Drosophila melanogaster: one gene and its partners. The protein of the gene in region 1 interacts with the protein of each later gene in a pairwise test. Each region holds a gene or a part of one and is shown on either strand. Other genes may lie near its edges. The genes, in order: CG13474, CG5103 and La.

Region 1 (2,859 bases):
AAAGGTCAATAGGATAAATGAAATAAGTGAAAGTCAAGTAGAAAAGCTGAAAATCAGCGGAGATCTGGAAAAGGACGTGGAAAATGTTTTACCCCAAATTAAAAAGTTCGTTTCTAAGGGCATCAAAAGCTGCTGTGAAAACTTCACTAAATTAATAGAACATTATAAAAAGGATCTACATTTAAAAATCAAGAATCTGCCAAATAAATTAAATGAGACAGAATCTGAAAAATTAAATGAAAGTCACTCTATTCAAAAGAATCTAGGCTACATAGAAAAACAAGTTGAAGAAATAAGACCACTTTTTCAGAAGCTACAAAAATATTTTCGTGATAGTCAAGCAAATTCGAAATGTTGTGATGGCCTAAAAGAATCGTTTCAGTCATTGGAAAATAAATTATCGATAATCAAAAGCAATGGATATAACCAGTCTCTAAAGATAGAAAATCAGCTAAAAGAACTGAAAGATAAAATACAGGAAAATGTAGAAAAGACAAAAGACATAAAGACAACTTTAAGTCACCGCTTTGAAAATATTAAAAATATTCTTGGTATCTGCAATCAAAGCTACATACATCAAAATGTTCCAATGGATACAACTATTTTTCTTGACTTGGAAAAAAATGCAGAAACCTTAGAGAAACTCGCCGAAACGCTTTTCAAAAAGTTAGGCGTCTTGGACATTCATAAACCCTCAATAAATTTAAATGTAACCCTTAACACATGCCAGGAAAATAATGAAATGCTAACCAATATCCAATCTAAAATGGGGTATTTGCTTAAGCAAAATTCTAAAGATTGTTTTGAGGGATCGCCCACAGACTCCAAAAATTCTAAGTCTTTGATTATTAAAACTTGTTCATCTAACGAAAAGCTACAGAACAGTATTGCGGAGCTGGAAAAGGAAATAGGAATCTTGCGTAAAGAACTAAATAAATTCCCGAAATGCTGTAAAAAAATCGACGACCTTATCGTGCATATGGGAAAACTAGAAAATATGATTAATAAAATGAACCAAACTTACAATGATCATCTAAAAGCCAACTCAAATCAACTTAATTCTATAAAAGAGGGCATAGATAAGTCCTTAAGAAATTTGGGCCATAACCATGATGACGATGATAATAAAAAACTTCAGGAGCAGGCAAGAAAACTTAAAAAAGATCTTATAAAAGCTAGTTTGACCTTGAGCATTCTAAAAGAACGACAAGATGACTTATTGAAAGATAATAATAAAATTCAAACTTCACTATACTCTCCTGATGAGATGGATGGTTTAAAAAAGGAGCTATATGAGCTTAGACAGGACATTGAGGGAAAGTTAAAGGACTTAGCTTTAAAGAAGCAAAGCAAAATGGACGCTGTTAAACATCTCGATACATTCAATAAAGAAGTAATTCAGAATCTAGATAAAGCTAAAACAAGTACCCTTGAACACAAGGAACTAGATATGCGGATCAAGGATCAGACAGAGAATCAAATCAAGCAAACAAATGAAATGCTTCATTGTTCAAAAAAGTGTTTGAAAATTAACATGATGAACGATCTTATGGACCAAGTGGAAGACATGGAACGAATTGTAAAGATAAACAAATAGTGTTCTACATCTATTTCTGATCTATGATGTATAAGACGATATTGTTGAATAAAGCAATTCAAATAGCCAATTTTTTTTATTTTTTTTTTAAAATAATGTTTTAAAAATTATGTTGAATAAATTTAATTAATAAAAACTTACTACAAAAATGATTTTAAGATATCGGGCTTTCTGATTCTTTTGTCAGAGCTGTACTGAGTTAAATATAAATCATGCTACTACAAGCGGAATTTACAAAAATCGACGATGCCCTTGACATCTGTAGCTCCATGGAGGAGGATCTGAACGAGTGTCTGAATATCGTAGGGGCCATGATCGAGAAGTACAATGCTCCCGGACGCTACATCATATCCATGGATCCATTCGCTGAGGATTTTCAACTGAGCAATAGCGAGTCCACGGACTTGGATGGGTCGTCTATAGGAAGTTGTGACTCCGAGCTGGACATGCTAAGCCAACTCTACGGAGCCAGAAGTGCCCAGGAGTTGGATGAATCTTACGTCGATGTGCGCTATAAGTTTATCAAGCTGAAGCGGTTCTTCGAGGGTACCTTTACCCATTTTCTAAGGATCGTTGACTGTGCTGATCGTCAAAATAAGATTTCACATCGCATTTTTATGAACTCGCAGGATACCAAGGGGAAGCGGTGCAGGCACTAGGAATGCAAATTTCCTCCAACTATTCCATCAAACTTGCGCGCGTGTGTAAACTGCAAATTGTGTCGACACTTGGCAGGTTTTATTAAAAATTACTGTCACCATTAGTCGAGTTGCCCGATGACTTTCAGCGAAAAAAAGTGGTGCAGGGATGAACTTTCCAAAACTCATTTGGCCTGACATGAAAATGAGGCAAAGTTTTTTATCAGAGCCTCAGTTTTTCTTGCGACACAAGTTGCGCCTGACGTTAAGCACGACGACGATGATGACGTCGATGTTGGTGGGACAGTAACAAGTCAGCTGCATGTTTATGAGCACGACAATGGGTAAATACAAATACGGACATGCGAGAGAATATGTTGGGGGAAAACATGAGAAATTGCCAGCGCAAAACTTGAGATAATGTAATGCAAAAGTGGCCCAGGACCAGAGGAAACTTTTCCATAACGCTTTGCCAACTTGGCTCTGTGTTTGTACTTGGTAATATATTTGTGAGCATTATTTTATTTCGTATACCTGTTACTCGTGAACGGGTATATTAGACTCGCCATGTAGTAAATAATATGCAATATTCGTTAGTCCGCTCGCCAATACATTCATATAAAC
Region 2 (11,870 bases), 3.6 Mb from region 1:
ATGTGAGAGTGAGAGTCCTTGCTGCTCCAAAGAGACTTGTGGCTGTTGCTGTGATATCGCTTCTAGTCAGCAATCTGGATGCTCCCAATGGGATCAGACTTATCCTGGCCAGCAACAGCACATTTTTCCTGTTCCAATGGGTGTGGATCCGAGTACCGGGTTTCCCATCTACTGCTACTCTACCCCACTAAATTATCAAGGCAATGCTATGTACTCAATGCCAGGCATGCAAATGGATGAAAGTCAAAGGGGAGGCGGTGGCCAGAACAACCGGGAAACTGGTACGAAATGTCAAACTTCATCAGAATCTTCAGAGGAAAATTGTCATTCAAATGGGGATAGTGCTTCATTTCATCAAAGTCCTAACAATTTGGACATGGAGGCCTTTATGCAAAAGTACCAGAAGAGTGTTCAGCAATGCTATGCCACTGCACAACAAGGTAAGCATGATAAATAAGCAACCGTGGATGCAATGTAATATGCCGAATTTTAGGAATTCAACAATCATTTGCTAATGCTCAGAGTCAGCCGTATTTCAATAACTTTGCGCAGGGAACTCAACAGTTTTATAACAATGGTACTGAGGGTAAACATGAATTCGTAATCCTAAAACAATTTGACCACATTTTCATCATTTAAGCAGGTACGCGTTCAATGTTTGCCGGATGCAATCAAGGTAAGTTTTAGCACTCAGTAATTAACTCTTCATCTTATTTTAATAATATCCAACTGTTTTAAAATATATTAATTATTTTAAGCCATTCAAATAGGTATGCATGAAATGTTAGGCAGCCCCAATCAAGGTATGCTTAATTAAATTATTCACTTTCATAAATGTCCTAATGACATTCTATCGTTTTAACTATTGAATTATTTCCGAAAACCAACATCTCTCAGATTGTCAAGGCATGCAACAGGCTTTCAGTTCTTCTTTCGGTGCTCAACAATATTGTAGCAATGATGGTCTAGGTACTTACTTAGCATACCAAATTTTCAAATGGTTACCGATTTTCGTTTAGGTGCTCAACAAATCTTTTCCTCATTGATGGGAATGCCTTCCCCTAACTGGTTTGCCAGTAACACTGGATTTATGAGCGACTCTCTGCAGAACCACACAGTATACTCCTCAGACTACAAACCCTTTTCCAACGATGGCAACCACTTTAACCACTTCCCCAATGGGGGCATGGACATGGGCTTGGCCACCGAACCCTGTAACATCTACGGTCCAGCTGGATCCCCTGGCCTGGTTGAGATGGGCAACGGTGGTCAGGTCTATGGCATGGGTGGTGCCTGCGACATGAATATGAGCGCTTACCCTCTCAGTCAAATGAGGTAAGAAATATTCAAAATACTAAACCATGCAATATAACTATTTGTTTTTACCTGCGTCAGTTATTCAAGTCCCTATTCCTACGATATGCCTTGTTCCACACTTAACTATAATCCAGCATCAGGTATTCCTATGGCTACTCCTCAAATGCAAGCTAGTCATATAAGTAGTGGAAATCCAGGTTTGTAACGAATAATTGTTGTATGTTTTTACAATATTCGCGATCAACAGTGCAACAGGGCTGAATCGGAAGGAACCCCGAGAGTGAGATGGTGGAATTGATACAATAATTATATATATTATATTATAATACTCTTAAACAATAAAGGCAACCAAAAAAAGAAATATAACAACTTCCTTTTCAATTTATAATCTTAGAAAACAATGTTGAGTTAATAAAAGTTAATAAAACTTAAAATAAGTTCAAGAACAAGGTATTGATCATTACTTAAAACGTTTCATTACTATGACTGCTGAAGATGAAGACTTTGTCGAGCAAGTTTCTCAATAGAACTTTTTTGCAGTCCAGCAATGGTAATGACTCACAGTAGGAATGTTCCACCTTCCCAGATCCTGAACTTCGCATGGCATGCACTTTAAGTCAAAGCTAATTACAGTGAGCTGGTCTATTGATTTTAGCAGTAAAGTACACTAACCCGTGAGGGAACCCTCGCATTGGACAAACAAACGGGCGACATCAGTGACCCAGTTTCGTGCAAAAACCAAGTCGGAAATGTGGCAAGCTGAAAAAGGGCCAGGCAAACAACGCCCCCAAATGCGAAAGGCCTGTATGTGGAGCGAAAGTGAAACGCAATATGGCCACAAACGACCACATTCGTTTAAGAGGGGATAGGAGTATCTGTGACTGTATTCACTTGCTTTGTCCAGGAAAAGAGGCAAATCAAATATCAAAGTGCCGACAATGAAAGCTCTGGTTAATTGTTTGATGTTAAAGACCGAGGCAAAGTGAAGTTAAGTAAAGACTTCTTGAGATTCTCGGATTGACATTTACGGCTGACTGACTATTCATTAATCTCATGATTCATAGACCCAACTCAATGTTAGGGGCTTCTAAACTATTCCCGCCGAAAAAACGTGTGTCAACACCCACAAAACCACAGGAGGTTGTCTAGGGTCCACAAACAACGCGGATAAGAAGGAATTTTCCAATGATTTATTCTTACGAGGCAACACCTTAAAATAGTAGAACAGAGAAGTCATGAGTTTGTAACTCCTTCGGTACCCGAATATGATTAATTGCCTCAAATGAAATTTGTTTCTGACCATCAGTTGAACACAATTGCGCTTCATTATCAGCGTTTTGGCCAGTGACCATCAGCGGCAGTCAATTACCGGTCGACAGTCTCGTTTCTACATTTCGATTCTACCCACCAATCTGCTTCACTTATGTCCACAGTGAAAAAATAAAGTTAATCTAATTTCTAAATTAATATTATGAATATTTTTAAATATCTGGTTCTCACTTCCATTTAAATATAAATAAAAATAACATCTTCTACCAGTATTTTTTTCGGGTTATTTTATGACATGAGAGTTTAACATAGAATAAAATAATGAATACGTACAATTTCTGACTGATATTTTCCCAGTGCATTCCTATATATTGCCTGGGTGTTGTTGTCAATGTCCTGCTGCGCTATTATTTGTCTTGTGTGAGAGACTCCGACTCGGTATAAATTGGTTTACGCCACTTTTGGGTCATTAACGAAATTGAAAATAGAGACGGACATAGGGACAGAACTTGCGGGGAGGGAGCTGTAGAAGAAGTGGAAAACGGAGACCACCGGGCTCCCATCAAATCAGTGCCACCTATTTTGGTAGTTGGCCAATCATTAGACACCAACGGTGCTCGAACTGTTGGGAGTCTAGGCGATATTTAAGCGTCTCCTTGGGAGTTTTGGAGCAAATAGTGGTGTTACTTTCAATTTACCGCCTTAAGCGATCGTTATTGAAATGGCTTCAGCGTAAGTAATTAAAATGCGACTTTATACATGATTTAATGTCCTTCTAGTATGAAAACCCTAGAAATCGTGTAACAACCATCATAACTTAATAATGCAACAGCAATCACAATAGAGCATTGAAATGACTCCAGATAGTAATGCACCACTTTCGGAATTCATATAACCCTTTTCCAAGCCTACATCTCAATCCGAATCGGTTGGTGGAAAAAAACCTACAGATAGAATTATCTCCGCCACGAGAGCGACTCACTTCTAGCCCGGGGATAAACACATATAATTTAATCAAGGGCACGACTTCTACTTCAAGTAGGTAGCGACCAAATGTCCAGACAAGACAATAAAAGGGCGAAAAGGGATCACGTCGAAAAAAAAAGGAGAAATCAAAGCGTAACAAATTCGCCGGCAGGACTTTCACTCGTGGAAAAGAAAGGAAAGTAGAGGACACGGATTAAACAGCAGGCACGTGACTTCTGAGGCCGAGTCCTTTTGTTCAGAATTGAAAGCCGATTATACCCAGGGTAGCGCACATACATAGGCATTTGCACTTCATTATTATGAGTTATGATGGAACGCAGGCTGGTCAAGCTGGTCCTCGCACAATTATGTCACCCTGGGCAAAATTCATTATTACTGCCCTGCCATGCAAATCGATTTGTCGTCTATCCGTCGATATTTCTTTTGACATCTGAAGGGTGTGACCAATTTGCATCGCCGAACAGGACACGCGTCGCAATCAGATCAAAGGGAGGGGAAGCCTAGATAGGTCCTATCCTATGCAAATGGACGGAATCAATAAATGAGCTTGGACATAGGTCAATCGCTTCCACTTAGTCAAATGTCCTATTAAAGTCGAGTGTGCCTGCTTAGCCTGGGAAAATTTATTCCGAATCCGAATGCGATTTTTCATGCTCTTCACATCCTCGATTGGGAATGGCAGTCAATCGTTAATTGAATTGTTTATCAGTCCTAAAATAAATCGTATAAAATGTGATACTTCACTATTACCAGGCAAAAATGTTTACCATTATATAAAAGACTTAAGTCTAAAATATATTGTTTTTTACTTATTTGAGATGAAAGTATAGTTTATAACGTGAGCTTAAAATCTATATTTATATACAATGGTTAATACATTTTGGTGGTTTTTGTGCTGTTACTTAAATTAAATTGTACAGGTTATTTTTGAAAGAATTTTATTATTCTTGAAATGTTTTGCGTTTTTGGATTTTTAAGGTAGTTTTTCGGTTACTTGGCACCTGTTGAGCTTCTTCACTTGCCTGAGAAACCCGCTCCATAGCTCAACTGAATTCAGAAATGGCAGAAAAGACGAACGCGTATTGGGTTTGCTACTGGAAACAACGAGATCTTGATGAAGGAGGATTCTGAGCAGCCAGAAGGAGCCAGAAGGAGGGTTCGCAGTCCTCAGAGGCTTCTTCTTTGAAAACGATGTATGTGCCTACCGAAGCGGAGGGTTCAGCGAAGTGTTCCAGAGCCTTGATCAGGAAATATATTGTATATCATCTTTAAATTTTTCTTATAAATTACTCACTTATTTTAATAGCATTTTTGATTAGGCCCCTTGAAATCTCCAAATCAGATGTCAATGCTATAATCCCCATTTCCCACGGTTATCATCTGGTGAAACTCTCTTAAAGCACTTCCACTACATAAATTCGCTTGAATTCATACTCGAAACATTAGCAATGGATACTGAACCCTTTGCTAAGTGGCAAACATCAGGGAAATATCGCTGGGCGTTGCGAATGACGACAAATTACACACACCAACTGCTGGGCCCGTGTCTTCGGTTGGGTATTTACTGGAAATTTGCAAACAATATTGATTTCGGACCGATCAAAATAAAAATTAATCAATGCACTTAAAAATTTTGAAAAACACACATAAGGAAGCAAACTCAATGACGTGGAAAAGGGAAAGGGTGTGGTGTGGAGGGAACCCCTTTTTTTAAGCAACCCTCCGGCTGACTTTAAAGTGCTCGAAAGAAACTTAACTAATTTATAACTTATGACTGCACGGCCATGGACAATTTTCCATGCCACTACAAAGGAGAGCAAAAGCCAAAATTTGACATGAGTAGCGGTCGCTTAGCCGAAACCATGTGTAAACCCCTTTTTTTTTAAATTCAAAGTAAACCCTTCAGTCGGGACATGTGAGTGTGCACATGTCAGCAAGCGAATTAATCGAAGAGAAATGATTTATTTAGCGCTCGGACAGACGGAACGCTTCGATGATCCGGGGAAAGGGTTAGAATCCAATGCAACCCTCGTGCAATTCCGATTCGCACCCAAATCAAATTTAAACTGTTTTCAAAACTGCACCTCTTGGCTCATTGATGGGCATTTATCGGTCCAGAGGGTTGGTCCTGCACTCTATGTTTACTTATGCGTTTTCTCGCTGTGAGAACTGCAATTTTTCACCGTAAATTCACACTGCATTTTTTTATATAACCTTCACTGAATGAAACTTTTTACTGTTTTGAGTTTCTGCCGTCAAAATATTTACGACTTTTGATTTGTAATGACCTTACTTGGATGTTTGAGTGATTCGTGTGGGAATGCTGTTTTGATGCTTTCAATTTGCTGAAAATGTACAATTACTAAAAAAAAACAAAATCAAATCAAAAAGCCATCCATGCATTTTACACGTGGGAATTGGAAGAAAAAAGGACTAAACATTTCAAAATTCTTCTACCAATTTGTTAAAATAAAACTTATAACTTATATAAATACATTATATAATTTTTACGCCAATCGAAGGGAAATTTGAAATGTGGTAAAAATTACAGCACAACAGTCTGTCTTTGATTAGTTTCTCAAAATTAATCAAAATTTGGTTGTGAAAATGTCGAACGCTAAGCTGGACAGTAAGGTCGTTCAGAACCTGAAGGACGTGGCCCAAAAGCTGCGGATCCACTCGATCACCTCGACACAGGCGGCCAAGTCGGGACATCCGACGTCCTGTGCCTCGTTGGCCGAGATAATGACGGTGCTGTTCTTTCAGCAGATGCGCCTAAATCTGAAGCATCCTCGCGATCCTTCCAGCGATCGATTGGTTCTGTCCAAGGGACACGCTGCACCCATTCTGTACGCCGTTTGGGCGGAGGCTGGACTCTTCCCGGTGGAGGAGCTGCGAAATTTGCGCAAGGTGGACAGTGATCTAGAGGGTCATCCCACTCCACGGCTGAGTTTCGTCGATGTGAGCACCGGATCCCTGGGACAGGGCATCTCAGTGGCCGCTGGAATGGCCTATGTGGGCAAACACCTGGACAAGGCCGACTATCGTACATATGTGATCGTGGGCGATGGCGAGGCTACCGAAGGAGCAGTCTGGGAATCGCTCCACTTTGCCGGCCACTACTGCCTGGACAACCTGTGCGTAATCTTCGATATGAACAAGATCTTCTGCTCGGACATAGGCACTGAAATGGAGGTTTATCGGGAGAGGTTGGACGCCTTCGGGTTCAATGCCCTAGTCTTAAATGGCCACGATATTGATGAGCTGGCCAAGGCCTTCATTAATGCGGCCAGCACCAAGGGTAAGCCCACGGCTCTTTTAGCCAGGACGACTAAGGGAAAGGACTTTCTGGGCATCGAAGGAATCGAAGAAATGCATGCACAGCCACTGGGTAAGAGGGCCGAATCTGCAATCAAGCATTTGCAGGTATGATTGAAAGACCAATTAATTGCATTAACGGTATGGTTAATGGTATCATGTGTTTCCTCAGATGAAAATCGCAAATCCCAACGTCCGCCTGACACCCAAAAAGGTGGGAAAGTGCGGCCACGCCCCCGAGGTGCATATTAACAATATAATGCTGTGCAGTCCGCCCAATTATCGGCTGGGAGATTCGGTAGCCCCACGCTTAGCCTACGGAACCGCCTTGGCCAAAATCGCGGCTGATAATCCTCGGGTAATTGCCCTTGATGGCGATACAAAGAACTCGACGTATGCGGACAAGATGAGGAATGCATTTCCAGAGCGTTTCATCGAGTGCTTCACCGCACAGCAGAATCTGGTGGGCGTGGCCGTGGGAGCCACCTGTCGACGTCGCACTGTGGCCTTCGTTTCGACGTATGCGACCTTTTTCACACGGGCCTTTGATCAGATCCGCATGGGCGCAATTTCGCACACGAATGTTAACTTTGCGGGCTCCCACTGTGGCTGCAGCATCGGCGAGGATGGTCCCTCCCAAATGGGACTGGAGGACATGGCCATGTTCAGGAGCATTCCCGGGAGCACGGTCTTCTATCCCACGGACGCAGTTAGCACGGAGAGGGCGGTGGAACTGGCTGCCAATACTAAGGGCGTGTGCTACATCCGCACAACGTATCCGAGCACAACGGTGATCTACAACAATGACGAGGTGTTTGCCGTGGGACTGGGCAAAGTGGTGCGCCAGAAGCCCTCGGATGAAGTGCTCCTGATTGGAGCCGGCGTCACATTGTACGAGTGCCTGGCCGCAGCGGAGAGATTGGAGGAGGATTGCATTACGGCACGAGTGATCGACCCCTTTACAGTGAAGCCCCTCGATGTCGGACTAATCGTGAAGCATGGAAAGCTGTGTCGTGGAAGAATCGTCGTGGTGGAGGATCATTACCAGCAAGGCGGATTGGGCGAGGCGGTCCTCAGTGCTCTGGCCGACTATCGAAACTTTGTGGTCAAGCATCTCTATATTACCACTGTACCGAGATCAGGCCCTCCTGCTGTTCTGCTGGACATGTTTGGGGTCTCCTCCAGAAATATATACAAAGCAAGCCTGGCCATCATGAAGAAGTGAGCAGAATGTTCGAAAAAATCGAAAAAATTAAGAAGTGTAACTTTATAATTTCAAGTACTTTCCGTAATCAAAACTTTTAAATATCTCTCTCAACACAAATTATAACTGTAACTATATTTATATTTTGGTTATCATGCAAATTGAATAAAAAATTAGCAAGAAGTTAATAAAAAAAACTATTATCGCATTGTTGGACATTTTAGTCACCTGTATTTATTTTTTTATGAGAATTAAATGATCTTTATTGTATTCAAAGTACTTTGTTTTTGGACCGAAATATGAACCACTCCACTTCTTAATAAATCAAATATTCCCTTAATAAGAAATCAACCCTTTTTTAAATGTGACCTGTCCCTTTTTCATTGATACGTGCTCTTCAGCTGCGGTATTATATATCGCTCTACCTGAACTAATAACCGTGCAACGTGAAATGCACTACATGCTACTGAAGTTCAAAGAAAAATTGCATTTGCCAAAAATCAATTGGGCGGAATTAATTTCAGGAACTTAACACAGAGGATCATTTACTGCGTTGGCGGTACTTTTCGATTTTGACATATTTATTTGCAGTGACCTTTTCGCAGGGGCGCATCCAATCGATAGCCTCCTCTTCCTATTGTTGATTTAGTTTTCGATACGGTTTGACTGTATTATCAGGCAAATAGTTGACACTATTTGAACAGGGAATTACCCCTAAGGAACAGGAGAAATTTTAAAATTAATTACAAAACTATAAAAAAATTTATTTAATATATGTTCCTCTAGTTATAAGCTTAACTGACAACTTTTTCTGTTTATATATGTATAACTAAAAGATAAATACAAGTATATATAATAGGAGCCTTATATTAATAATGAAACAAAAATATTTTGTAAAAAAACAAGGGTATCTCGTGGTCGAATCACTCCCGTTTCTTTTAGTTCTATCTCGCCTGACCAAAGGCCACTTTAAATTATCCGTAATGACATCCGTTGCCGTCTAATGTGGCATTCATCCATTTATTCATTTGCCTCTGAGGCATCAGAGGTCCATTTATTGTTTTTCGCTTCCTAATCAGTACTCTATATTGTTTGATGGTTTGGTTCAAAAGGACAACAGGATGTGCCTCTGTGTGTGGTTAAGGGTTGGCCAAGTGGACAAAGTATCCCTTCCGATTCGATCAAAATTTACGATAAATGCTTTAAAAATTCTATACACCTCAAATACACAATGGACGCACAGATAGCGGAGAAGTTTTTCAATTTTTGTTAAGTGAGCATGGCTAACTAGATTGGTTAGAGATCATAAATTCAACAAAATGAAAATAGATTAGATGACATCATATGTGGAGTGCCCATTGTTCCCGCCACACATGTGTAGGAGTTGGATGTGTGATTTTGGGGTAGATTTATGAGGGAACGACTGCACCTGCTTGAAAATGTCCCCCACCGCCACACAAACATATATCATTTAATGAGGAAAATCTGTGCCGCAAAATTTGTAAGCAATTATCTGCGGTGAAAAAAGAGCCCAAAAACAATCATCAATCTCTGTCTGCAACTGTTAAAAGCACATGCATTTAAATTAGACATTTAAGCCAAGCGCCCCCGCCAGAAAATACAACAATCCCCAATATTCAAATAGAACGAAGTCAGTAAAAAAAAGAGAGGCTTCAACAGTGAGCTACCCTTTAAAAAAAAACATTGGACAAATTAGAAAAATAATAATAAAATTTTATACAAAATTCAGTCAAAATAGCAATATAGGGGAAAAAATAACACATTTCAATAGTTATTATTACAAAAATCCGCGATTGTTGAACTATGAAGTTTAAAACATATATACCCAAATATCTGTGAACTATGAGGTATAAAAAGAGAAGTGTCAAAAGCAAACACCGAGCAGGAGTTTCGCCCGGAAACGCTTAATAGGATTTTTACAATTTTTACTATTTTCCTGTGGCAGCTACTGGTTACCAGTCAGTCCCCCTTTCACTTTACTCTCTTCTGCTTTCTCCTCTGTCTTTTTTTTTTAATTTTCCAAATATTTTGCCTTTCACCGGCTGGAAAAAGGGGTTAGAAAAATGCCAAAAGAGCGCACCCCTGTGTCGCAATGGAAATTCTTTTACACTTTTGTTTTCCTTTTTCCTTGGCTGTTGTTACTCACTCGCAGGATATGGTTATTCTTGTTCCTGTTGTTAGGGTTTCATGCACCGCATAACATTAAAATTCAGATTTTGATTGATCATTCTGGTTGAAGCGAATTAGAGGGTATGAGTTCGCGGTAGTGGAGGAATTGAGTGAAAGGCTATTATGCACAAGATGTGAGAGGAGTATGTTAAAGCCTTGTCTAACAATTTTGTGAATTGGTTATTTAAAGGTTTTAAGTGAAGGAATTTGAATGTCGAAAAAGTAGACTTATTTTTTGAATTTCGGCCTTGGTATAAAGCATTAGTGAATGTAAAACAGTTTGGAAACTAATAATTAATCCGAATAATTATTGTGCAAACATGTATTTTGTTTTTAGAACTAAGTTAGACAGATACCTAGAGACTATTTTAGGTCTAGTAAAATTGTTAATATAAATTTCACATTTCTTTCATTTAAATAACAAAATGGTTGCTTGCATTTTAAAATGGTGCTAAATGACTTAAGCTGGATTTACATAAACTTTCGGATGCATTCTATGAATATGTGATTCAAACATAAAATACTTATACATACGGCAATTCCTTGAAGACACACATTTAGAGGGCGTCACGCTAACCAAACTTTCCCAGGGAAATTTACAAACATTTGCCAAACTCCTTTCTTTATTTTGACTTTCACACAACCGTCAGTGAAATCCAAAAAAAAAACCACTTAGGTATGCAAAGAACGGTGGCTACGAAAATTCGATTAACAACAAATGCATATTGATGGAATAACTGAGCAATTCTAATGAGCCACAACAGCGACGGGGCAGCATAAAAAAAAGCCAAACAAATTGCAATTGCCAATGGATGAAGGTTTTTCCAAGGAACCACAATATTTGCATTTGATTGACAACAAAGTTAATTGAGTGTGAGCCGAGCATTTGCATAGAGCCGAGTAAAAACAAACATTTATTATATTTAACTATGATTTTTTTTAAGCGTTGCTGGCTGTGTAACCCTTTGGGTGCTTTTAGGGGATAGAATCATTAATTCCTATGACAAGGCTGAGGTGAGGTGACTGATGATGGGGTGTTGAGTCGAGTCAAGACAAGGTGAGAGATCTCCTCTCCCAGGCCTAAATGTCATTTCGATGAATTTATAATTGGAAATTACGTGAATTTTTCTATTCGGGATTTACATTTTTATTCTCGTTTGCCTGGAAATTAGCATATTTTTTCGCTCTCTTTGGCATATCCTTTGTGTGTGTATGTGATTTAATTAATGATCTTATGCAAAGTGCTCCTCCGTTTCTGTTGTATTGGCCATGCATGTGTTGGCAGCTAGCTGCCGATCATTAATCAGGTCGTCTAAGTAGCTGCTTGAACTCATTAACCCTTTTGTTCGCCCAGACAGCCCAGCGAAATGGCAACAAAAGTTTTGTCTTATATAAATATTTGCATTGCCGCCAACCATGAGAACGGAGTTTCCTTGCAGCGCAATAAGTGAATACAAAACGGATCCGTAAGAACAGATATCCTTATTAATGATCTTGTGAATGTCACAGTAGCGAAAATCTTTTTCCGCACTTTCAATTTTTGGATTTCGAACTGCCAACAACCCCGAAACTTAGAACAAGTCTT
Region 3 (11,205 bases), on another chromosome or scaffold:
ATTGACGATCGGTTGAGGAGGCACTCAAGCACACACAATGAACCACACAAATATACAACAAAAAAATCTCGAAATATTTTGTAAAAACAAATGTGAATGTAGAAATAAAAGAAAGTCTACTGCAATTCGCCCCTAGTATTATTTATTATTATGGCACCCCGTAGCGGCTTTTAATTTTGGTACTAACTTAATTTTCTCGGCTGCCAATAATCGTATAAAAATAATGTATTTTTAACTTGACAAAAAATTACGCTTACAAACAAAATAAATATGTGAAAAACGAACAAAATTAACTGCTGCCCAATACGAAAATGAAACCCGATCAGTGGAGCCAGCAAAGCAGGTGCCGCCTCCAGAAGAGCCATCCTTCACGAAGGACGAGTACCACAAGTTCTACGACACGGCCCTGGAATGTAAATATTTGCTAAGAAACAGCACGTAAAACCGTAATGCATTGCCATCTTGCATGATTGTCCCCCCTATCGGATATCGAAATTGCATTTAGACGCTACACTAGTATATATCACGCTACTAAACAGACAGCTTGCTTTTGAAATACACATCTGACATTTAACATTTGCCGCTTTTCCCTGCGCCTTCACTGTCCTTCATGTATGAAAATAACTCATCCGCCCCGTTGACCCTGACTGAATGCGTTCTCCTCTCTTTAATTGACAGCCTACGACCTGGCCACTCAGTGCGAGTCGAGGAGGGCTTCCTTGCGCCGCCACACCATCGTTGGATGCCAGAGCAACCTGGACGAGACGCACTCAATGCCGCCCACGCGGCCCGAGTCGCGTCAATCGGACGACGTCAGCAAGGAGGTGAGTCCGCCAGCATAATGGTAATGATGATATCGAGGAAAGAGTGTGCCCTCTACTTTTGTATTATTGATTCGAGAATAATACATCTGTGGTGGGACTTCCATACTTTACAATATGCTGGACTCTTTCATTGTAGACCATTTCTCCATTCAAGCAAACGTTTTATTAGCAAATGAGAACAGTAAAGCTTAAACCCTATTCAAACTTTATTTCTATATCTACCAATCCGTTGCAGACGCCTAAGAGAAGTCCTGCGGAGCAGACCCATCCCTCAGACGAGGGCAGTTCAACATCCTCGCTTGGGCCATGGAACAAGTCCTTCATGGACAAACAGACGTGGATGGAACGGGGTGACGATCGGCTGTCCGTAACGCTGGCGGAGATCGTTCACATCCGTTCCGTCATGACCAAGGCGGAGCTGGAGGGCCTGCCGATGGACGTGCGCGTCAAGGAGGATGTTGAAAAGCGTCGCGTCTGCTTCCTGTGCCTGCGCACTCGGTTCTCGTTCTTCGGTCCCTGGGGCATTCAGTGCAAGTTGTGCCAGCGCACGGTCTGCGCCAAGTGCTATACCAAGGTAGGTACCGGGTTAATGGTTAACCATAGGGCTGCATATTTACTATTTTCGATTTCTTCCCAGATGCGAATTCCCTCGGAGCACTTCCGAAACGTGCCCCTCGTGCTGATCTCGCCATCGCTGCTGTCCAGTCCGGCCAGCTCGAGCACCCCATCACCCTCCCATCATGCCCAGCAGGCGCACTCATCCTCGACGGGGAACATCATGGACGACCAGTTCCCCAAGTCGTTGATAGAGCGTCTTTTGCGCTCCGAGTCAGATCGAAAGGTAGGCCTCCTAACAGCAGTCCGACCAGTAAACATGGAACTAATGAAATTGATACCTTTATTCCAGACTCGCAGCACTGTGGGCAGTGCCCCATCCTCACCCAAGCACCAAAGATCAAACATGAGCACGCCCGGCATTAGCGTGGGACCCGGAGCATCCTCCTCCTCAGCGGCCGCCACTGGACAGGCCGTGGAGGCACTGCACGACCAGGCGACCATGTCGTCCTCGTATTCCGCGGCCATGCGACCCTCTGGCGTCCACCAGCAGCAGAAGCAGCACTACAACAACGCCATGTCGAGGAGCATGGAGGGACCCCGAAGTCTGCCCGTGCACAGTCCAGCATATCGACCGCTCTCCAATAACAGCACCTTGGAGAGGAAGTGAGTTTTTTGTCTGGGTTGTGGTGCACCACATTTATTAACCGTAATTTATTCTCAGATCCCGCTTTTCGAGGGGATTCAACCTGTTCTCCTCGGGCAGCCATCTTGCCCAGACGCAGGAGCAAAAGGAGAACCTGCGCGGCGAGCAGGTGACCGTGTGCAACGACTGCCAGGGACTGGTCAACGAGATCACGAGCTCCGTGAAGCAGAAGCGCAGCTCCGCACGGAACCGCACCATTCAGAATCTCACCCTGGATCTGACGCCCGTCTGGAAGTAGGCGGGAATCAGATCAGAGATAGGATAACTCCGCAGTGCGTTTGAAGACCGTAGGATGGTTGCAATGGAGTTCTAACGACTGACTTGGCTCTACATCGCTATACATACTACCATTGACTACATGACACTGATGATGACTCATTGACAGACAACAGACGCTATTTGATTACTGACCACATTCCTTACCTGTGAGAATTTTCAGTTTCAGCGCGGCTGTTTTAGGGCCTTCAGAACGCACTTGCACATTTAGCTATTACATACATGCATAGATATGGATTAGATCGACTGTTGTACACTTAAAAGGATAGAGCCTCGAGGAGCCTCGTTTGTAAATCGTGTTAGTCTAGTGAATAAGCAGAGGAGAATACCGAGAATTCCTGGCTGAAGCTTTGTACATTTTCTGCCGGCTACAGAGAGATCCGCTTGAGCGCACCCCACCACTTTCTATTTATAAAGGAGCTAACTTACACGTCGCTACACATTATATTATCGCAGATCGCAACGCGATGCCGTTGTTTATAACTGTTCAAAGTATGCGTAAAAGTTGATTAAGTACATGTAATCATAACTCTTGTATCCGCATATATCAAATGCACATATATTCGACCTTACTTGTACCCTGCTCCTGCATTCGTTTCAGCACGAGCGACGTATTGATCATACAGAATACATCGATATTCGCAATACGATTCCCAGTTCAGAAAAAAAAAATTTCGATTGTTGAAATAGTTATCCGAAAATGTTGTGAAACTTTTGTGCTTGCGCAGATCTTTGTTTACGTTGTGAAGTTTTCGTTTTGTTCCCCTATTAACTACAATGTCAATGTATAACGCAAGAACTACTTGATAGCCTAATTTAATTTTAGTCGGCGTTGCTATGCAGCCCAAACTATTTAGTTAATTCGCTTAGTTTTAATTCTCCCTAAGTGCGTCTAAGTTGTAAGCGACGTCTATATAATTGTACAAGCTGATGATGCAAAGCAAACCCCTAACGAACATTATATTACCTAATTGTAGCTGCTATTATAGTTTTTCTAACCGTTTTTGAACAATTTTGTTTGATTTATCTGTAATTGTAAATGCATTTAAGTACTTGTAATATTAAATTTTATGCTTTTAAGTTAAATTCATTTACAATAATTTAATACACACACGAACACACAAAGAGATCGAAAATACACAAAACAGCAATAATAAATGAAAATACAAACTAAAGAACAAGATTCAGGTTTTACACACTGGTCTTTATTTGTAGCTTTCTGCTGAGGGAAACAATTGGATTCATAGTCTTCTATGTAAAATAAATTAGAGCCCACCTCGTTATTTAGGTAACAGACTATACATGCATATTTGAAGAATATTCTGTACCTGCAACGATTATTTTGAAAACTAAGAGAAAGCAAGTATTATATATGTAAGGCCTTAAAGCTAGGTCAACTAGATCTACCGAGTAACAATTAAGCTTGGTCTACTGCGATCAAAAGACTCGGGTGGCGGAATATAGGTGGATGAGTTAATCCCCACGCGCCTTCTTACCACCGCCATGTTTGTGGTCGTTTCCGCCGTGGCGCTTGCGATTGAAGCGCTTGCCCTTGTTCCTGGTGAAATCGCGTCGCTTCTTCATGAATTCTATGGCCTTGTCGATGAACTCCTTCTCCTCCTCCTCGGTGGCCTTTCGCAGCGACAGAGAGACCTCATCTTTGAACTTGAGCTGTGGATAGGCAAGTACAATTACGGATTAGCTGATAAGGGAAAAGTTATAATCCCAATTCTGATTCTTACCTTGCCTTCCTCCACCTTGGCAATGTACTTTTCGGCCGCATCGGCCTCCGTCAGCCGCACAGAGCCCTTGGTTTCGCCCTTGGCGAACTCAATGTAGGCCACCTCGAAGTCCTTGATCTTCTCGAAGGCTTCGCGAATTTCCTCGCGGCTAGATGTCTCCGGAGCGCCCTCGAAGACAACAATGGCGTTCTTGGGCAGCTCGAAGGCAGGCTCAGGCTTGGCCTCCTTTTTGTTTTTGCGCTTCTCGTTCTTCTGGGCGTATTCCTCCTGCTTCTCCTTAAGGTAGTCCACCTGCCATTTACGCAGCAGCTCGCGCTCCTTATAAACGATCTTCTCCTGTTCGAGGAAGGCCTTTGCCTGGTCCTTGGTCTCGAAAGTAAGGAAGATGCTGCCCTTGAACTTGTACGACTTGGTGGGCTTGTCATAGTGCTTGCGCATGGTCAGGTTGACCACTTTGTCGTAGTTGGCAGCAAAGTCGAGCAGTTCGCTAATCTGCGAATCTAGGGGGAAGCCCTTGGCGTATGCGGTCCGCTCCTGGATCTCCTTGCGCCGCTCTTCGTTGTGCTCTGGAATAGGACGCTCCGGATGGCGACGCAGGCTAAGTTTGTCTTCGCTAATCTCCACGAGGCCCTCCTCGGATTTGTTCAGGGCAGCCACGATCTCAGATAAGTCCGTGGACAGGGAGGCCAATCTCTTGAAGGTAACGAGCACCGACAGGGGCACCCAGCCGTCCTCGTTCTTGCCGATCTGCTCGCGCAGAAACTTGTCCCGATTCAGATTGGCATCGCCGAAGTAGTACTCTACCTGCCGGATTATGGCGCGCTCCTGTTTGGTGAAGCCGCCAGCGGCTTCCTCTGCTGCGGGAGCCGGGTCCTTCTTGGCGTCGCCGTTCTTCGCCTCCAGCACCTGCGCCTCGGCGGGCTGTGCTACCTCTTCCTGGGCTTCCACACTCGGGGTTTCAGCAACTTCGGCCATTTTAGCTGTGAAAATTTCGCAAAGAACTGAAATGTGCGCTCACTGAAACACGTGTGAAATCGGTAAAATGAGTCACGGCGTTTGACAACACTAGCCCCGAAATGCCGTGATAGAGATGCACAGGTCAAAAACCGTGACTAGCGCCAAGCATTAACTTGAAAATGCAGTGCGGACATCTTGACCAAAGACCCTAGAATTCTAGTGTCTTTGTCTTGACTATGTATTATTTAAAGGCTTTGAAAATATACGTTTGATTATTTAATTTTTGTAGTAGTGGTAATGGTAATATATCAACAAGAATTAAAAAAAAACCTTTACTCATTTACAATTACCGCGATATTCAAAAACAAGAACATACCAAACTAAAACTTATAATTCAAAATATATGTGACGAAAAGTGGTTTATATTATTTTTGAATGTGATTTATCAATTTACTCCAAAACTATCGATGCAAAGTTACGGAATGCTCCCCGATAGCCCTATCGATGCCGAGGACCTGTTGGCACGTACACATCTTTAGTTTGGCTGCGGCCGATTGCAGCCCTGGTTTTCTAGGTTTCTATTTTGGTCGAGCGCTGTGTTTTATTTATGTTTGCCATGGGAAAAGAGAGTTGCTAAAAGTGCCTAAATACGTGCACCTGGTTCACAAACGGGCGCTCCAACCAGTTGACCCCAGCCCCACGGAATCGGCATATGAGTAAACAAGTATTTGAAAAAAATAGTGAGAGCAGTTCAAATCGCGTCGGCCTAGAAAAGAAACCAAAAAATCGGGCAATAAATAGTGAAAAGTGTGCTCCTTTTGCTATATAACCAATTGTGTATATATAATAACAAGGGTGGATAAGTCGCGCAATCAACGAAACTTGGAAAACTAAACTATTAGTCACTATTCTATTATTGCTCAACGAACGACAGGGAACAACAACAAACGGATCAACAAATGTTTGATAAAACGCAACGCAGCTGAAGGTGAGCGAAAAACTAAAGTGGTTAAGAAAACCCTTCAGACAGCTTGGCTGCAATATATCTAGCCGTGGAAATGAATCAGGTTTTCCAATAACTGCTCGTCTGGCCAAAGGTTCAGTGGCATCTGAAAATTCACCCCACTATGCGTCATCCAAGTAGAGGCATCATAGACATCCCCACAACGGCAGACACAATCAAGCCTTCCTATAAGAACCGCCATGGGTTTTTACATACATATATGGCATATATAATAATAGAGCGGGTTTTCTTCCTTATTTCCCCTTGAGATTTTAATATACCCATACTGCTAAATTCTTCATCGATGAAGATATCTCTTACAAGAAGCATTTAGTTGACTGAATTATTGGTTTTTTTTTTTTTTTTTTTTTTTTTTTGTATTTCAACACTTTCTTTTAAGCAACATATTTATATAGAAAATCTAATACATTTTTAGACACATGACAAAATCCTATTTACGTTAAAAACAGTTTCAATCGTTTAGTCCCAACAAAGGACATTTAAAGCTTAAAGCTCAAGAATACATTTTATGTAATGACTCCTGTACTTTCGGCACAACTGTTGTTCAACTTGCTGCTGCTCGTGCAATAGTAATTTGTTGCCGGTTTCTGGAGTTCAGAGGTCCGCCTGCATAATCCATTGGGTCAATAGCAGGGCTCCTCGTGGGGCATCCGTTCCAGCTCCTCCCGAAAAGCGTTTGTTTGCTAGCACTCGCTGCGAAAGTAAAATGCACTGCCGGACGACGACGGAGGCACGTTCTGCCTGCCGCTGCCTGCCGCATGCCACCTGCCTCCCGGCCCCAAACTCCCCCATTGGATTCCCAGAACCAACAAGCATCATTACCCGAACAATTTTGAACCGCTGCCAAGAGAATTTCCTATGAAAGGTGGTGGCAAGCTGAATGCAAATTCATGCTTTTCTTTACTCTCACATGATCTTGGTTTCGGCCACCAGGTCAAAAGCAGTTTGCAAAATAAATAGCTACCCTAGAAAATATTATTTAAATCAAATTGAATTATTTCATGGTTTAAAAAGTTATATTTGTTTGTATATATTTATGTGGGGAATGTGAAAAAGTCTAGGGTAAGATCTCGTCGAACCACTTGGCTCTTTGCGCCCTATGGTTGTTATTCTTACGCTTTAATGAAAGCATGTTGGCAATATCTGTATGTGGGCCTGTGATTTCCCAAAACAAACATTGGCCGTCAAATCATGCGCCTGATTTTCACTCGTGTCTGCTGGGAAACCGCGTTTCTTCATATTTCCGCTGCTGACCTCGTTCTTGGTGTGTTGGTGTCGAGAACAGCGGATCCCCACAAGCTATTGGAACTCCCACTCGCTCACCTCTTCGGTGTGCCCACAGCCACCGATGACTTCCTCCGCCACGAAGTATCTATAAATACGGCGAGCGACGCAATCAAACTATATTACGTCCATATATCTGAGGAAATGCATCTCAAGTGGCGGCTGTGCAGCCTGTAAATCTCGGTATTGACACATTGAAGAGGCCTTATTGAGTGCAGTTCGGCTGAGCTAGTAGGGATAGCGATTCGGATCCGGTCCCGACCAGGCAGAACTGCATAAATTTGGTTTGTCTTTGGCTGACTTTGTTTGTCTTTGCCGCTGACTTTGCCAAGCAAAACAATCCACTCGCCTTTCTTTTACATCTCTCGTCTTTGTTGTTTACGTTCCCCAGTGTCCCACGAAAATAAACATTCGGTGATTTGATTTGGGGTGCTCCCCTCCGATGGATGCGACGTTTTACTCGCCAAATTGCGCATTTCCGGAAGCGGCAGGGATATTCATTTGAATTTCGCCTTCGGCGACGGATCGTTAATAACCGAAAGAGTTGTCTCTTATACTCAGAGAGCGTGGGCCCGGTGTATCTGTATCTGAAACTTGTATCTGTATCTGTATCTGGATATGGGGCCGCATAGCCGATCCGCGCGGCGCCATGTGCAAGTTTAATGAATTAATTAAAATTTGGTTCCGAGAGCTTCAATGGGGTATGTATGCATCTTTGTATGTGCCCACATATCTGCGTGTGTGCCGCTCGGTATCTGCATTTATGCATCTGCTCATCTGACCTCCGATGCATCGTTTGGAGCACCACCACCTACGGAAATTTGATTGTGCCCGGCCATGGACTTAAAGTGATTTCAGGGTTAAACGAAGCGAAGGAAAGTGACATACATTCGGCTTGGGTTTGGCGCTGCACTTATAAAGCATATTTTTTGCCGACATTCTGATCTCGGCAGATTTGAATACGAATATTCTGTGGAAAAAATATTTAGTTCTTGGTCACTCTAGCTCAAAAATTCTCCGTCGGTCTATAAGCTTCAACATCTTTATTCAGTAGAGTTTACAGTTCCAGCCTCCTTGTTTGTCTCAGAATGAAAGTCTTTGGGTTAAATTTGATTTATATTCTATCTTAAATTCTAAAAATATGACGAATTTAACATTTCCTGAGGCCATAATCCCATTAAAACCACAATGTGTGTCGCACGATTCTAAATTTTAGATTATACAAGTCTACACATTCCATAAACGTTTCCTATGATTCACGGGCATATATTGTATGATCAACAGGAAACTGAGCGGAACAGGTGAATTTTTCTGAAATAATTCTAAAATGCTTGAATATGAAGAAGTTTTCGATTGATGACTGAATCCACAAACATGGAAGATCTCACATCCAATAGGCAACCCACATATATTTTGGCACAAATATTTTTATGTGGTTTTTTTGAATAGACAATACAAAAGCACAGCGAGTGTCGCTTATTTCTCAATGAAATACAATTAAGATCCTCATTTTGGAAACGCAGATGAAAAGGTTGTCCCCGGATTCATATTTTTTGTCACATCTCTGTTGATTTTTCATGAAAATATGCGATGTGTCCGGTCGAAAACGCTCGCGTACATGTGAAAATATATTCGAATCTCCTGCGATCCGACGAGACTCTCAGAAAATGACTGCGAGAGTGGCACTTTCGGTTGCCGTGGAAAATTCGTCTGCCATATGTCGCCAGCTTTTCGGTATTTTCCGCTTTTCTCGGCAGTTTCGCTGAAGCAATGAACGCGTGCGGTGCATCGTCTGAGAGCAGAAAAACGGCGAAAAACGTCAAATTGTCGTACCACAATTTATTGTCGAAAAAGTATATATCACCCATCTATACAAAAGAGTAGCGGGTATATGTATTCGAGTGCCTAGATGGCGAAAAAGTGACATTTTAAGAAATTTTCATGCGTTTGTGCAACCAAAACGTGACCTTGCCTTAGGGAAATATTCTCATCAGCCTATAAATCTTGACAATCTCATGAGAGCGGTAATAATTCGTGAAAAACTACACGTTCCAGTTTGGCATATAGAACTTGCGATCCGCCAATATGTACACTTTCGTCTGTTTTTTATTTTTAGTATTCTAGAAAACTATTTGGGCAAAATAAACCAAGTTGTTCATATTTTTGCGTTTACTCATTGCGGCAATAGCAAACAAATGTGATGCATCTATTTTTAGAAAATATATCACTTTTTAACATTTTCAGTCCAGAATTGAATTTTTGCATAAACATAGGAATTCCTATATTAATAAAAGCACACGTCGCGCTGCCAATTTTAAATAGTACCAACGAATAGACTAGGCTAAAGACTTTTATAAACGACTTTAAAAATAATGACATCCACTAACTAGCCCCCTAGTGCCACTCATACAAGAGACCATTTCAATTAAGCTTTGGAATATTGGGGGTTTTTGTGAGTAACAATGTCGTAATATAATTTTCGAGGCATTCGAAAATATTGCGATTTTACTTCTTTCTATAGATATCTGATGTATAGAGTGCACTTGCCTTTAGAATCCAATGTGCCAATCCCATTTCCGTCAACGAAAGTGTTTAACGATTGAATGAAATGTTGATCTCTTAAAGAGTTGTTCGAACAAACCAAATAAAAAAGGTCGTAAATATTTTTAGACGCGACGTGGCCGTTGTTTATGATTTATATGTTGGCCTGTCCTGTCCGGCTATTCAAATTGTTTTTATGGCCCGAAAAGTTTTTCTTTCACAATACGCGCGAGTGATTTTTACCCAATTTTTTAATGGATCCTCGCAGCTTGTGTGACCTTGGCCATCGTGTAGCGCACGAGTTTTCCAGACACTTGCAGTAAACTAGGAAAGAAAAGCCGGAGGGGAGTCGCCGGAAAAGTGTCAAGAAACTTGCGCACGCGTTTCTCGACAGATGTTTTCAAAATGTTTTCTTCTTTGGGGCCATAATTATTGCTCGGCTAATTCCAAGAGGCTGAGGAATGCCGAGCGATCGACGATGATGTAGCTCATCGCTGCAATAATGCGTAGGTGCTGTATATAACGAGCGATATGCTCACATATGCTTTTTCATTGAGCAAATTGCCTGGCTGATGTTTCAAGTTCAATACCCATCGCCTCGTTTCAGTTGAATCAATCTAGTGCGCACTCGGATCAGCCCTGAACAATCCGATAATGGATCAGCCACTGGTGGTGCAGGCGGAGTACTCCTTCATGGGCAGCAATAACGACGAGCTGTGCTTCCAGAAGGGCGATGTCATCACGGTTACCCAGCGCGAGGATGGTGGCTGGTGGGAGGGAACGCTGAACGATAAGACTGGCTGGTTTCCCAGCAACTATGTGAATGAGTGCAAGGTGCAGCTGCCTCTAACGGAGACCATAAGGCCGCCGGAGGAGATCCAGGAGTATCGGTCTGTGGTGCTCAAGGATCTGCTTGACTCGGAGCGCGCCCATGTGGCCGAGCTGCAGGGTCTGCTCGAGAATTTCTTGGAGCCCATGCAACAGACGCAAATGTAAGTTCTCTATTCTCTGACATAATTTGAATATAATCTAAAAGGGCTTCTTCTACAGACTCAGTCAGGATGAGTACGCCCAGCTGATGTGTAACTTTGTAGAGATTGTGCGTACGCACGAGGATTTGCTTATCCAGATCGAGGAGTGCAACGATCGAGTGGGAAAACTATTTCTCACCAGCGCCCCCTTGATGAAGAAGGTGCACCAGGCGTACTGCGCTGCCCATCCAAAGGCCATTGTCATACTGGATAAGTACAAGTATGTGCTCCTCGCTTTATATACATATATTGTGGTGTTCAATTG

The links.
Region 2: the proteins of CG13474 (region 1) and CG5103 interact in a two-hybrid assay, tested with the Drosophila melanogaster proteins (one large-scale study listed by BioGRID).
Region 3: the proteins of CG13474 (region 1) and La interact in a two-hybrid assay, tested with the Drosophila melanogaster proteins (one large-scale study listed by BioGRID).

What each region holds. Positions count from the first base shown.
Region 1 is NT_037436.4:14,696,051-14,698,909, reverse strand, and holds CG13474 (uncharacterized protein), read left to right. Parts: upstream 1-1,804; 5' UTR 1,805-1,809; coding exon 1,810-2,256; 3' UTR 2,257-2,359; downstream 2,360-2,859. Other genes in the region: CG17177 (uncharacterized protein), read left to right, coding at 1-1,597.
Region 2 is NT_037436.4:18,288,539-18,300,408, reverse strand, and holds CG5103 (uncharacterized protein), read left to right. Parts: upstream 1-6,146; 5' UTR 6,147-6,180; coding exon 6,181-6,999; intron 7,000-7,063; coding exon 7,064-8,116; 3' UTR 8,117-8,284; downstream 8,285-11,870. Other genes in the region: CG13700 (uncharacterized protein), read left to right, coding at 1-440, 494-586, 641-676, 759-803, 898-969, 1,020-1,335, 1,396-1,514, 1,565-1,578.
Region 3 is NT_033779.5:20,344,847-20,356,051, forward strand, and holds La (La autoantigen-like), read right to left. Parts: upstream 5,167-11,205; 5' UTR 5,079-5,166; coding exon 4,104-5,078; intron 4,033-4,103; coding exon 3,835-4,032; 3' UTR 3,547-3,834; downstream 1-3,546. Other genes in the region: spir (spire), read left to right, coding at 327-413, 679-824, 1,060-1,398, 1,462-1,665, 1,732-2,045, 2,104-2,323; RtGEF (Rho-type guanine nucleotide exchange factor), read left to right, coding at 10,564-10,901, 10,960-11,160. UniProt on the Drosophila melanogaster protein: May be involved in transcription termination by RNA polymerase III. Binds RNA and DNA. Binds to precursors of RNA polymerase III transcripts. May play a specialized role during fly development.